Linked DNA regions of Elephas maximus indicus. The protein of the gene in region 1 interacts with the protein of each later gene in a biochemical or structural test. Links are inferred from orthologs where the notes say so. Each region holds a gene or a part of one and is shown in the gene's direction. Other genes may lie near its edges.

What was found.
Region 2: of the proteins of CASP3 (region 1) and HCLS1, one has a biochemical effect on the other in vitro, tested with the Homo sapiens proteins (2 studies listed by BioGRID). The link is inferred for Elephas maximus indicus from reciprocal best matches to the Homo sapiens genes CASP3 and HCLS1.

What each region holds. Positions count from the first base shown.
Region 1 is NC_064839.1:83,406,633-83,414,237, reverse strand, and holds the start of CASP3 (caspase-3), read left to right. Parts: upstream 1-4,514; 5' UTR 4,515-4,530; coding exon of another isoform or gene 4,531-4,583; intron 4,584-7,338; exon of another isoform or gene 7,339-7,368; 5' UTR 7,369-7,542; coding exon 7,543-7,605. UniProt on the Homo sapiens protein: Thiol protease that acts as a major effector caspase involved in the execution phase of apoptosis. Following cleavage and activation by initiator caspases (CASP8, CASP9 and/or CASP10), mediates execution of apoptosis by catalyzing cleavage of many proteins.
Region 2 is NC_064819.1:12,176,085-12,183,377, reverse strand, and holds the start of HCLS1 (hematopoietic lineage cell-specific protein), read left to right. Parts: upstream 1-4,229; 5' UTR 4,230-4,337; intron 4,338-7,293. UniProt on the Homo sapiens protein: Substrate of the antigen receptor-coupled tyrosine kinase. Plays a role in antigen receptor signaling for both clonal expansion and deletion in lymphoid cells. May also be involved in the regulation of gene expression.

The sequences.
Region 1 (7,605 bases):
CTTCTTCTTCACTTTAGAAGGGATATCTCGACATGCCCCACACCACTGGACCCTTAGAAATTTCACTGAGGTGGAAGGTGCCTGAATTTTTGTGGGATCAATTTCCCACCCTATAGCACGCAACTGTTTTAGCAGTAAGTCTGGAGTCATTGACACTTCTTCTTTACTAGGTCCAATCAGCATAATGTCATCAATGTAATGGACCAGTGTGACATCTTGTGGAAGGGACAGTTGATCAAGGACCCTGCGGACTAAATTATGACATAGGGCTGGAGAGTTGATGTAGCCCTGAGGTAGTCAAGTAAAGGTGTATTGCTGGCCGTGCCAGCTAAAGGCAAACTGTTTCTGATGGTCCTTTGAAACAGGTATATGGAGAAAAGGGCATTAGCCAGATCAATAACAGCATACCAGGTACCGGGAGATGTATTAATTTGCTCAAGCAGTAAATTACATCCGGAACAGCAGGTGTAATTGGAGCAACCACCTAGTTAAGTTTTCAATAATCTACTGTCATTTTCCAAGATCCATCTGTTTTCTACACAGGTCAAATAGGCGAGTTGAATGCGGGTGTGGTGGGAATCATCACCCCTGCATCCTTCAAGTCCTTAATGGTGGCAGTAATCTCTGCAGTACCTCCAGGGATGCGGTATTGGTTTTCGTTTACTATTTTCCTAGGTAAGGCCAGTTCTAAGGATTTCTCTTGGCTTTTCCTACCATAATAGCCCTTACTCTATTTGTCAGGGATCCAATATGGGGGTTCTGCCAGTTGCTGAGTATATCTATTTAAATTATGCATTCTGGAACTGGGGAAATCACTACAGCATGAGTTTGGGGACCCACTGGACCTACTGTGAGATGGACGTAAGCTAAGACTCCATTAATAACCTGACCTCCATATGCCCCTACTCTGGTGGGCCACAGTGAAGTTTTGGGTCTCCTGGAATTAGTGTCAGTTAAGAGCCAGTGTCCAGTAATCCCTGAAAAGTCTGATTATTTCCCTTTCCTCAATGAACAGTTGGAAACCCTGGTGGCGTAGTGGGTAAGTGCTACGGCTGCTAAACAAGAGGTCGACAGTTCAAACCCACCAGGTGCTCCTTGGAAACTCTATGGGGCAGTTGTACTCTGTCCTATAGGGTCGCTGTGAGTCAGAATCGACTCGGCGGCAACAGGTTTGGTTTTTGGTTTAATGAACAGTCACTCATAAAAGGCCGTAGATCCCTTTGGGGAAAGCTGGGAGAAAAATTAACAGTAAAAGTTTTTAGCAGTGTATTGGAGTCATTCCTCAAGGGGACACAGCCTCTCCTTCATTCAAGGGGTTGTGGGTCTTTAGACTCACTCAAAGCTGGGAACTAACTAGTGACTCTCTATTCTGCCCATTCAAGTTACACTGCTATTCATCTAAACTAGAATTCATCTGTTTGTACAGATCAAGTAAATATTTCATAGTCTTCCGATCTGTTTCACTCCTAGGAACACCTTGACTAAGTAGCCAATGCTGTAAGTCCATAAAAGGCAGATTTTCTGATTACTGCTTTGACTCTGCAGTCCACTACTGTGACCACACCCACCTTGTCTTTGTCGATTGAGTGCAGCCACTTGGCCCCTACTATCACAGGGTCCAGTGAGCTTCATTTTAGTGTCTTAATTCAGTTAGGGTAGTTCCCACTGTCAAATCTGATTTACTTAAGATAGCAATCACAGCAGTCTTCAAGGATCCCGGAGCTCCCTTCACAAATTTGTTCCTCACAGTTGTGGTAAAAGGTGTGTCCTCTGGTACTCCATGTGTGAGTCTGTGGGTCTAACCTAATAAATCCACTCCAGCATACCAATTTCCCTAAGCCTTTGGATACCTTCTTCTACAGTATACCAATGTAGATCCAGTACTTCAACTTGATTTAGTGTAAGCCACCTCGTAATCCATGCTTCAGGGACCCAAACAAATAAACCATTAGATCCTTTCCTAACTTCTTGAGCTGAAACATGGAATAAAGGATCTGTGCTTAGTGGACCCATATCAATAAACTCAGACTGATCCATCTCGATCTTCATTGCGCCATTATCCCAAACCCTTTATAGCCATTCCCACACATTCCCCAGGTGTTTTTTGGTACATATTAGAAAAGTCAAGCAGGTCTTTTGGAATGTAGCATACCTCCTCCTGAGTCATACTTTGTACTTCACCTTTTGGGACTGGCTGGGACTTAAGTCTAGTTACAGGTCTAGAAGCCAGAATCCATAGTGTGAAATTGTTTTGAGAACATTCAGCATTGTCTTGTAAAGCATCTGCCTCAGTCAATGCCCCAGGCAGTGACTCAGGCAAGGGCTCTTTAGAGGCAGCTGGGCTAGGGCTAATCTCATTAGATAGGAGTGGAGGAGGTAATGGTTTTTCTGGGCAGAGTGGTTTAGCAGAGAAACATGAAGTAATCTCTTCAGCTGGGATTGGTTCTGCTGGCAGGAATGATTTAATGGAATATAGGGGCTGTGTCTCCAGCTTCCTGATTATCTGCCCATACGTCCCCATCCCAAGTTTCAGGATCCCATTTCTTCCCAATGCCCTTACTTTAACTTCAGACTCCTCTCAAGGTTGACAGTTGAGCTGGGCTTGTAATTCAGTCACTCTTACAGTAAGACTCTGAGTTTGGTTTCCAGAAATTTCAGCTCTGTTACTACAAGAAATAAGGCTTTTTTTTTTTCAAATCACAAGTGGAAGGATTGAGGTCATATATGTGGCACTTGAGCTTTAACTCTGAAGCCCTGAGCACATCTCTTTAACCAGTTTGTCTACCTACCAACCTACCAGCTTTCTTATACTTTTCATTCTAACAAAATTTAGAAAGATATCACGTGTGTTCATCCAGAGCCTTGCCTTTCACCAATACCTGATCTACTGGTGGTGATATTTTGCATAATTGTATTGCCACCTCACGCCATGAATTAGCAGTGCCCTCTTTATTGCTGGAAGTAGAGTCATCAACATCTTTAAGACTAACCAGACTTGAGAACCAATTTAGGAAACTCATCCTTACAATTCTGTTTCTCTAGAACCACTCTGTGTGCCAAATGTCTGAGGCTAGGTTCTCTAAGGAAGCAGAACTAGTAAAATATATAAATATATACATAGAGATTTATATCAAGGAAATGGCTTACACGAATGTAGAGGCTTGAACATCCCAAGTCTGTGGATCAGGATAGAGGCTTCTCTTGATTCACGTAGCCACAGGGGCTGGAGAACCCACGATCAGCAGGTCTGAGAACAGTGCTCTTGCTCACAGGCTGTGAAGATCGATGAATCTGAAAATCTGCAGATAAGCTAATAGCTCAAGTCCCAAGAGCCGGAGGTCAGACGAACAGGAGACAGCCGTAGGATCCAGAGTGAGCAAAAAAGCTAAAACGTCTGGTTATATTCGGATGTAGGCCACATCCCCAGGGAAAATCCCTTTCAACCGATGGAGTACTTACAGCAGATTCAATCATGAAGGTGATCACCCATAAACAGCCAAGTTAACACATAATCTTAACCATCACAATTGCCTAGAAAGTTCCTTTGCTTCTGGATAGCTTAGAGGAGACAAAGTAGAACTCTAGAAGACAAGTAGTAAGGACCAAGCTTCTTAAGAAGCAGTAGAGCAGAGTGGCAGGGAAAGCCTTGGATCTCCATCACGTAGCTCTGTGTCATAGAAAAAGTTACTCAGTAGGGGTTGCGTTTCCTGACTTTTAGGATTGTTCCAAAAATTAAAGATGCTTAACACAGTACCTATGAGTTGGAATCGACTTGATGACAACAGGTTTGGTTTTGTTTTTTTTTTTGGTTAACACAGTACCTAGTATGTAATAAGTGCTCGGTAAGTAGTAGCTGCTTACAAGGACTTGTTCACTGTGTGAGGTGAAAGAATGAAAGAAGAAACTTTAGCTTATACTTCCAGGTTTCGTAAACCAATTCACCACCCTAAATGAGAAGTTGGGATGCCAAAGCCCAGTTTAAGAATAAAAATTCTGTGGTAGGTTGGAATTTCCTGGTACTGTACCTCTTGGGAATTTAAGCATCGTATACTAGTGTTATGTGAGTTATACCATTTTGGTGCCAAGTTCTTTGTTTTTTCTTTTAGCAAGGTGAAAATAGTATAAAGTCTTCTTATTGACTGAAGGGCTGCGTTCTTAAAATGGCCTGATCTGTTGAAACAGAAATAAGCTGCAATCTATATCTTAATGTGGGAGGGGGCATACAAATGTAAAAATTTATCCAGGTGCACATTTATTTGTGCACTTTGTGTACTTCACTGTTAATATCTTGGTTAAAGGGAAGAAAGGAAGGAAGTAGAAAGGACATTGCTCAGCTCACAGAAACCTTTAGCAATAAAGGTGAAGCTTGGGTTAGGGTGGTAATGCTGATACAAAAATGTTCATATAAAGTACTAACATGCAGAAATAATCATTCGGATAATGAATATAGTGCAGTGGTTTTAGTGGTTTTATAATGGCTGATTTTGATTGACTTCTATTTTCTTTATATTCTAGTTAATAAAAGTATCCATGGAGAACACTGAAAACTCGGTGGATTCGAAATCCATTAAAAATTTGGAAACGTGAGTATTTAAATGGAACCCTGTATAATCAGAGAAAAATCGGTATGTTTAAATGGCAAACTGAGGAGTGGGGAAGCAGAGCGTATATGAGCTTTCTAGCCAGAGAGACCAAGTTGACTTCTTCCCTCAGACAGCTGTGTGACTTTACACAGTTAACCTCTCTGAATCTCATCCTTATAACTTTCGTGGAATTGTGAAGAGGATTAAGGGAGGCATCTAAAGATCAAGCACGGTGTCAGTCCCATAGTCAGAAACCCAGTCCTGGAACTGAAAGAATGCACCAGGAAAAACCAAACCCACAAGTTTAGTTGGTTCTGTACCTTCCCAGATTGCTCTGCTGAAGGATTATAGGTTTTGTGTTTGTGGGAAGTTTTTTGGCCTCCTGTTAATGTATAACTTTTAAGACTAAAATGAAACGGCAGCTCTCACTGCCTGTTGTCAGATGCCATCGAGTTGGTTTCAACTCAGAGCAACCCTATGCACAACCGAATGAAACACTGCCTGGTCCTGTGCCGTCCTCACACAATTGTTGCTATGCTTTGGCCCATGGTTGTAGCCACTGTGTCAGTCCATCTCGTTGAAGGCCTTCCTCTTTTTCGCTGACGCTCTGCTTTACCAAGCATGATGTCCTTCTCCAAGGACTGATCCCTCCTGACAACATGTCCAAAGTATGTGAGATGCAGTCTTGCCTTCCTTGCTTCTAAGGAGCATTCTGGTTGTACTTCTAAGACAGATTTTTTTGTTCTTTTGGCAGTCCACAGTATATTCAATATTCTTTGCCAACACCACAATTCAAAGGCGTCAGTTCTTCTTCAGTCTTTCTTATTCATTGTCTAGCTTTCACATTCATATGATGCTACTGAAAACACCATGGCTTGAGTCAGGTGCTCCTTGCTATTCAACACTTTAAAGAGGTATTTTGCAGCCGATTTGCCCAGTTCAATGTGTCTTTTGATTTCTTCGCTGCTACTTCTATGGGTGTTGATTGCGGATCCAAGTAAAATGAAATCCTTGACAACCTCGGTGTTCTCTCCATTTATCATGATGTTTCTCCGTTTATCATGATGTCCTTCTTCCTAGGCTGTCTTAGTCTGGAAGCTCAGCTGAAAGCTGTCCACCATGGGTGACCCTGCTGGTATTTGAATAACAATGTCATAGCTTCCAACATCACAGCAACACACAAGCCCCCACAGTACAATAAACTGACAGATGAAGTGTGGGGGTCTCAGTGCCTAGTTATGAATTATCTTTTACCCTTTGTTTTTCTCTGGTCTTTCTTTTTGGAATATTGTAATTATAAATGCTTCTAGTAACTATCAAGTTCAGGAGGGGAAAAAGTTAAAACTCAAATATTCTTAATTTAATTCATATCTATTATTATCGATTAGAATTTCTTGTGATACTTTTAATTCTAATAATTTCTTTCAGGGACTCAATATCCTCTGGGTTAACCCAAGAATTACAAATTAATTTTAGTACTAAACAATATTATTACAGCAATATTGTTAACAAGTTGTCAATAAAGATTTAAAACCAAAAAAACCAAACCCATTGCCATCAAGTTGATTCTGACTCACAGCGACCCTATGGGACAGAGTAGGACTGCCCCCATTGAGTTTCCAAGGAGCGCCTGGTGGGTTCGAACTGCCGACCATTTGGTTAGCAGCTGTAGCACTTAACCACTATGCCACCAGGGTTTCCAATAAAGATTTTTCAGTGTTTAATTACCTTTAGGGAACTGGGTTATAGGTAAAGGAATTATCCTAGAAATTGAGCCTTTGAAATGTAATTCCATTTAAAATATAATTCCATTAAAGTAGTTTTTGAAACCTTTGTAAAGTGATTTACACATTTTCCTTCCTACTTTTCATTATCATATAGAACATCACTTAAATAGCAAATTACTCGGGAGCCCAAAACAGGTTTAGGACCATTATGGTCCTATGATTAGTTACCTTCACATTTGCAAGCATTTTGGGTCTCTGTTCTTCATCAGGATCAGGTGTGTCCACTCTCAGTCTAGCTATCACACATTGCCGCCTGTCTCTTTAGGAGGGAAATGGGGCTTATAATTCTGTGACTCATTATCTAGGGGTCTCTGGGTGGTGCAAATGTTTTGTACTAGACTACTAACCAAAAGGTTGGTGGTACAGATTCACCCAGTGGTGCCATGGAAGAAGGACTGTGTGATTTAGTTTTATAAAGAAAGATTGCAGTCATTGAAAACCCTGTGGAGCACAACTTTACTCTGAAACGTGGGGTCACCATGAGTCAGAACTGACTTGATGGCAATGGGTTTGCATTTTTTTTTTGTTGTTTTTTGACCTCTCATTTCCTGATTCTTGGTCTAGATCAGGGTCAGGCTTGTGGTTTGCTTTTGTCAGGTTTTATGGACACAGCCACACTCATTCGTTTACATATTGTTCAGGGCTGTTTTCACCAGCAGAGTTAAGTAGCTGCAACAGAGACTCTATGGCCTATAAATCTAAAATACCATCTTGCCCTTTAAGAAAAAATTTGCAGATCTGTGGTTTTTGGATAAATGATCTCCAAACAAGTATTTTCAATTGTTTATAATAGTGCTTTTATGTATTAATAAATTATTAGTTTGTTCAGCTCATAGAGTTTAAGGAACAATTTATGAATTTTGATAAATATTGTGCTTTGAGTCATATTTGCATGTTTTTGGTTTCCTATAATTTGGGGGTAATTTTCAAGATATTGCTCTTAACTTGGAGGATAAAATACTTCACAGAATTAAAGTATAAAACCTATTCGAGGGCAGAGCAAACATGGCGCTATAGACAGAAGCACCACACTGTCCCTCCATCGCAAAGACCTAAAAAACTAAAACAGAGAAAACATCAATCCTGGAACCTTAAGCATCAAATGAAGAGATAATGCAACGTAGCATCAAATGGAATAAGAAAGTGACAGAGAACAGAAAGCGAGGAGAGAGATGTGTGGAGATCCACTATCAGCTAACGCACCGCATGTTCACCGTCTTGGACGCCTGTCAGAG
Region 2 (7,293 bases), on another chromosome or scaffold:
AACAGGGGCCAACGTAGGTGAGGCAGTGAGCCCCAGCCAAGGAGTGTCTGACAAGGGGTCACGCTGCCACTCCTGGCTTCTTGAAGAGCTAAGCTGCTGTGCTGTTGGTGATGGTTATTCCAGTTTCTCAGCCCCATGCTCATCAGCCTTCTGTGGTAACAGAGACCTAAGACAAATGGAAGGAGAATATAGGGAAGATGAGATATTTAAATCTAGGCCTGAGAATGACAGCCAGTATCAAATTCCAGTTGTGCCTATTCCTTGGACCCCGCCCCGCCACACTTGCCCATTAGTTATTTTTCCTTATTGTGCACATGATGTGTCTCATGGCTGCTCGCACCACCCAAAGGAGAGAGAAGACTGGTGGACTGGCTGTTCTGCTCTAATCCTTTGTCCTCTGGTGACCAAGCCTTGGTCACATCATCCCAGGAATGTTCCTGAAGAACTGTAAAATAATAAAATTATTTTCAGAATGAAGAATTGTGGTAGTGTGTGCATGTATGTGAACATATGGGTACTTGTATACAAGTGTTTGCATGCTGGAGAAGGAAGGTACTTAGAGGAAAAGGTAGGGGTGGGGTAGCTGGGAGTGAATACATGGGGAGAAAGCTCGACATACTCAGGCCTCCTCACTGGCCAGCATCAGTAATAGCTGCATGTTGTCCTTCCAGCCTTAGCCACTAGGTCCTGGAATGATGGAATGAGGAAATCTCATCCTGCCATTGAACCAATGAGGCCAGGCCTTAAAGCGTGAGGTTCATGAAGCATTAGAGCAGAGAATATGCAGGGGATGGTCTTGGGAGAACTCTTGTCTGGTACAGAATGGAAAACATTAGGCCTTTACAGATCCCTCTGGGTTGGAGTGGAGAAAGGGAGCTCTAACAGCATACAGCTGACTGTTGTTAGGTGCTGTTGAGCTGGTCCCAACCCATAGCTACCCTATGTACAACAGAACGAAACACTTCCGGCCCTGTGCTATCCTCACAGTCGTTATGTTTGAGCCCATTGTTGCAGCCGCTGCGTCAATCCATCTCACCGAGGGTCTTCCTCATTTTCACTGAGCCTCTACCGAGCATGATGTCCTTCTCCACGGACTCAGGGACTAGTCCCTCCTGGTAACATGTCCAAAGTATGTGAGAGATAGTCTCACCAACCTTGGTTCTAAGGAGCATTCTGGCTGGTTGTAGAGATGTTGGATTTTCCTATAGATTTTAGAGATTAGACCTTTGTCGGATTTGTAATAGCTAATTTTTTTTCCCCAGTCTGTAGGTTGCCTTTTTATTCTTTTGGTGAAGTCCTTGGATGAGCATAAGTGTTTAATTTTTAGAAGATCCCAGTTTTCTAGCTTATCTTTTAGAGTTTGTGTGTTATTAGTTATGGTTTGTATCCTGTTAATGCCATGTATTAGAGCCTCTAGAGTTGATCCTATTTTTTCTTCTATGAACTTTATAGTTCTTGGCTTTATATTTAGGTCTTTGATCCATTTTGAATTAGTTTTTGTATATGGTGTGTGGTATGGTTCCTGTTTCATTTTTTTGCAGATGGCCATACAGTTTTGCTAGCACCATTTGTTAAAAAAGACTGCCATTTCTCCCATTTGGTGGACTTTGGACCCTTGTCAAAGATTAGGTGGACGGATTTACATCTGGGTTCTCAATTCTGTTCCATTGGGCAACGTATCTGTCTTTGTACCAGCACTAAGCTGTTTTGACTACCGTAGCTGTATAGTAGGTTCTAAGGTCAGGTAGCGTGAGTCCTACTTTACTCTTTTTCTTCAATAGTGCTTTATTTTATCTGGGGCTTCTTCCCTTTCCATGTAAAATTAATGATTAGTTTTTTCATCTCTAAAGAATGCTGTTGGTATTTGGATTGAGATTGCATTGTATTTGTAAATCACTTTGGGTAGAATTGTCATTTTTACAATGTTGAGTCTACCTCTCCATGAGCATGGTGTGTTTTTCCATTTATGTAGATCTCTTTTGGTTTTTCGTGGTAGTGTTTTGTAGCTTTCTTTGTTAGGTCTTTTATATCCCTGGTTAGATTTATTCCTAAGTATTTTATATTTTTAGAGTCTACTGTAAATGGTGTTGCTTTCCTGATTTCCCTTTCATAGTTCTTTTTATTGGTGTTTAGGAATCCAACTGATTTTTGTGTGTTTATCTTGTATCTTGCTACTCTGCTGAATTTTTCTATTAGTTCCAGTAGTTTTCTTGTATAGTCTTTTGGGTTTTCTATGCATATATCATATCATCCACAAATAGGGATAATTTAACTTCTTCATTACCAATTTGGATGCCCTTTGTTTCTTTTTCCTGCCTTATTGCTCTAGCTAGGACTTCCAGCACAATGTTAAATAGGAATGGTGATAAAGGACATCCTTGTCTTGTTCCTGTTCTTAGGGGAATGTTTTCAGCCTCTCTCCAGTAAGAATGATGTTGGCCATTGGTTTTGCACAGTTGCCCATTATTATGTTGACAAATTTCCCTTATATACCTATCTTAATGAGAATTTTTATCAGGAATGGGTGTTGGACTTTGTTGAGCAACTTTTCTGCATCAATTGAGATGATCAAAAGAGATGATCTCTTTCCATTTATTTATGTGATGGGTTATGTTGATTAATTTTCTAATGTTGAACCATCCTTGCATACCTGGTATGAATCCTATTTGGTCATGTATTATTTTTTTGATATGATGCTGAATTCTATTGGCTAGAATTTTGTTGAGAATTTTTGCATCTATATTCATGAGAGATACTGGTCTGTAGTTTTCTTTTTTTGTGGTGTCTTCGCCTGGTTTTGGTATCGGGGTAGTGCTGGCTTATAGAATGCATTTGAAAGTGTTGCTTCCTTTTCTATGTCCTGAAATAGTTTGAGTAGTACTGGTGTAAACTCTTCGCTGAATGTTTGGTAGAATTCTCCAGTGAACCATTTGGGCCAAGGCTCTTTTTGTTGTTGTTGGGAAAAAAAAAAAAAAATTTATTACTTTTTCAATCTCTTCTCTTGTTATGGGTCTGTTCAGATTTTCAACATCATTTTGTGTTAGTTTAAGTAGGTAATGTGTTTCTAGAAATTTGTCCATTTCCTCTAGGTTTTCAAATTTGTTGGGAGCAGCAAATCCTGATGAGCAATAACACAGAATACCACAAAGACTGTCTATCATCCAGTACCATTGGGTTCTTTCAAAGTTCCTCCTATATGGAACCAAATCTTTTTACAATTAGCTCAGATGCCTAACTCTCGCAAACAAGCCATGAACCTTTCTGCCTCCATGTCTTTCCTTTCCCCTAATAAGTTTTTCCCTTATTATTTCATTGAGTGCATCAATGTTTTTTGGATATTTACTACATGCAAACCTCAGTTTTAAGTTTTAAGTGCTGTAAGCAGTGTAGAAGTAGAGTTTCTTTTTCAATCTTAACCTTCACGAGCTACATAAAATCAATTTCCCACTAAGCGTTTCTTGATCAGTATAGCCTATCCTCGAGTCCCTGGGGGGTGGAAATGGTTAACGTACTTGGCTGCTAACCAAAAGGTTGGAGGTTTGAGTCCACCAGAGGCTCCTTGGAAGAATGATCTGGCAATCTGCTTCCAAAAAAAAAAAAAAAAAAAAACTCAGTAATTGAAAACCCTGTGGAGCACACAGCTCTACTTTGACACACGTGGGGTTGAATGGCCCATCCCAAATTCTGAGTTGGAATGGCCCACCCCAAATTCTTCTCTGAATTCCTTTACTACAATAGATGCAGCTGCCTACCACATTTAGGACACAAATGCAGTACTATAGCATTCTCTTCATGTTTTCTGGTTGAATGTTTTGCTTCCCTGACTATAAACTCTGAATAAGAGCAGCATTTTCTATCACTTCCTCATGCTCCTCAAAGTTTGCAAAAGAGTAACCACAGGATCATTTAATCCTTTTAAAGTCAAGCCCCTAAGCATAAAGAAAGGAGCCCTGGTGGCACAGCAGTTAAGCACTCAGCTGCTAACAGAAAGGTCAGTGGTTTGAACCCACTAGCTGCTCTGCAGAAGAAAAATGTGGCAGATTCCATAAAGATTTACAGCCTTGGAAGCCCTGCGGGGCAGTTCTACTCTGTCCTATAGGGTCACTATGAGCCAGCATTGACTCGTCGGCAATGAGTTTTTTAGGTTAAGAAGGAACTGACTCAAACTTCAGGAAGTAGCTGTGAAGACAGGGTGGCAGGAAATGACAGCAAACCTGAATAACGGAACTGAAGCAGCAGCTCAGAATTTCTTGATCTGAGTGGCAGCAGCCAGAAAGGGAGCCGGGTGTCGTCTTGAGGAGCTGGGATCTGAGAGCCAGACACTCACACTATTGGAGGTGGGTGCGCTGAGCAGTGAGGGGAGTTGGGGAGCAAGAGAGGAAGTAAGAGGAACCTACCTGATAGGGGTGAGGGACACTGCTATTAGCCTTTTTAAGCTTTTATGGCCAGAAGGCCAGGATGTGAGTGGTTGCGGGTAATGAGCATCTGTGGATGGAAACAGAGGGAGGGCTAAAACCCAGGGGAGCAGAATTCAGCAGCCAGCCAGGACCCAGACCACACAAAGTATTGTCTGATCTCTGTTGACAATCTCCAGCCCTCCTAGGCACTGGGTTGAAAGGAGGACCACAGGAGATGAAGACAAGTCTCTGCCCTGGAAGAGCGTATGGTCTAGCCAGGGACATAAAACCCACATAGGAAATGGTGTAACTGATCAGGAAGCCCTAGCTAATGTACAGTTGTGCTGAGAACCAAGGTGAGGGAGTGCGTGGTGGTTCAGCTGGGACTAGTTTCTGTGATTGCAGGATCACAGAATCCCAGAATGTCAGAAATGGAAGCAACTTTATAGGTTAGCTAAGTTGACCCCTTCATTTGATTTTCCATCGGCAAAACTGAGAATCAACAATTATTCAGTAACTCGCTAAATTATTTGAGTCAATATTTGTGACTAGACTGGTGCCTGGCGCATGAGAACATACTTCACATTGATTCTCTTACCCGTGTTCCCAGAGGGGTGATCACCAGGTCTTCTGACTCCCAGCCCATGTAGTGTACTGATGCTCTAAGTCAGTCTCCTGTTGAGACCCTTGACTGTACCTAAGACTCATGCTCAAACACATTCCTCTTCAGTCTCCCATTTCTAGAGAGCACCTCTTGGCTTCCCTATTTCTGGCCAGTAGGTCAAAGATACCACATCATCTCTATGTCAGAAATTCTTCTCTTTATCTCAAGAATGGGTAAAAACTGGAGATTTCTGAAAGAGCTGGGCCGAGGCCTCGGAGGAACAGCAGGGCAGACGACAGGACCATTGGCTCTCATTGCTTCCTTATCACGCACAAATATTTCAGAAACTTCTCCTTTCTAGTGTCCTGTATTAAGTCCTGTTGCTGCAGCACAGTCCAGGAGCCAGGGCATGAGAAGCAGACAAGGGCGAAAGGATACAGGATCATAGGTCTCTACTACCTGCCCCAGGCCATAACCACCACCTTGGCAGGGGAGGCAGAGCTCTGTCTGCAGTGACTCACTACAGTCAGGTGCCTCAGTCAACACCTCCAGTGTCCTCTCAGCATCTCCTTTTCCCACTTTACACCCAAACCCCTTTAGATGGCGTTTCCAAGGGGTTGGTTGTTCAAAGAGCGTGAAAAGGAGAAGGGTGGAGTTTTCAAGTGGAAATAGAAAACTAGAAAGGAGAATCTGAGGGCCTACGTGACCAGACAGGAAAGTGTTTGTAAAAGGGACTCCCTTGAGAGACAAAGAAGAGCGCGGGAGAATGTCTGGAGAGTAGGGCGAGGTGTCTGAGCAGGGAAAGATGGGCAGGAAAGTTTTCAGCTAGCAAGTGGTGCCAGGGCTGAGAGGTCTCTGTGGAGTGGGTGAGCATTGTCTGCTGTCACCTCCTCACACCAAGGTCTGGGACCCACAGATGCAGAGTAGCTGTGCAGCCTCCCCACCCCGCGTCACCGGCAGGCTGACCTGGAGACGCCCCGCAGAGCAACAATTTGGCCCCCCTTCAAGCTAGTGTACTCAAAGTATTTCTTTTGCATTTATTTAGTTAATAAAAGTTGAATACCTCTGATGTTCAAAATACAGATTTTTACATGTTATGTTTTGAACAAGTTATCTTCTTTAGAGGTATAATTGAACTGTTCTTAAAAATTGGAAAGAAATGACTTTCCGCCAGTGAATAGTGAAGTGCTTCCCCACGCGTTGCTCAGGGTAGGAATTTCAGCTAACTGCCCCTAATGACCTCAAGCAGCTGTCCACAGGCTATCTCAGAGAGGAGGTGGGATGGTACTTGGACTGGGTGTTGGGAAAATTCTCAATAGAGTTGTGTGGGTTGTAGAGAGGAGTGTAGAGGCTGTTCACTTTGGCAGGAACTGGACCAATTTCTATTTCGACAACTATAAAAGGAATCATCTCTAGAAACCTGTGCTCTGTGTGCCCAGCGCCCTCGATGGTCTTGGCTCCCCCACCCTTGCTCCTTCTTACAGATGTCATTCTGTCATTGAATACCACCCCAAGCTGCTGCCTGGCTGGCCTCTGGACACAGGCAAACAATCCCAGAAGTTTTGACATCCAGGTTATTTAGCAGTACCTACACCCAAGATGACTTCTCTCCAGACTCAGTTTCTCTTGATTAAGCCCCCCAAAACTGAGCAAAAGTGCCTTTTGTTGTTGTGTTGTAAAAATAGAGGTAACACAACATTTGCCAATTCAACATTTGTCACTTGTACAAGTCAATGAAACAAATTACATCAATCATTCTGTGCAACCATCACCAACATCCTTTGCCATATTTTCCATCCCCATAAGCAGACTCAGTGCTAACTCTCTAAAGTGTTAAAAAGCTAAGGTGTGCCTGATCCAAGCCATGGTGTGCCTGATCCAAGCCATGGTGTTTTCAGTCGCCTCATATGCATGCAAAAGCTGGACAAGGAATAAGGAAAACCAAAGAAGACTTGATGTCTTCGAATTATGGTGTTGGCAAGGAATATTGAATATACCATGGACTGCCAGAAAACAAAAACTTGGAAGAAGTAATGCCAGAATGCTCATTAAAAGCAAGGATGGTGAAATTTTGTCTCACATACTTTGGACATGTTACCAGGAGGGACTAGTCCCTGGAGAACGACATCATGCTGGGTAAAGGAGAGGGTCAGTGAGAAAGAGAAAGACTCAGTGAGATGGATTGACACAGTGGCTGTAAGAAAACAAGGAGCTCGAGAATAACAACGATTGTGAGAATGGCTCAGGGCCAGGCAGTGTTTTGTTCTGTTGTACATAGGGTCGCTATGAGTT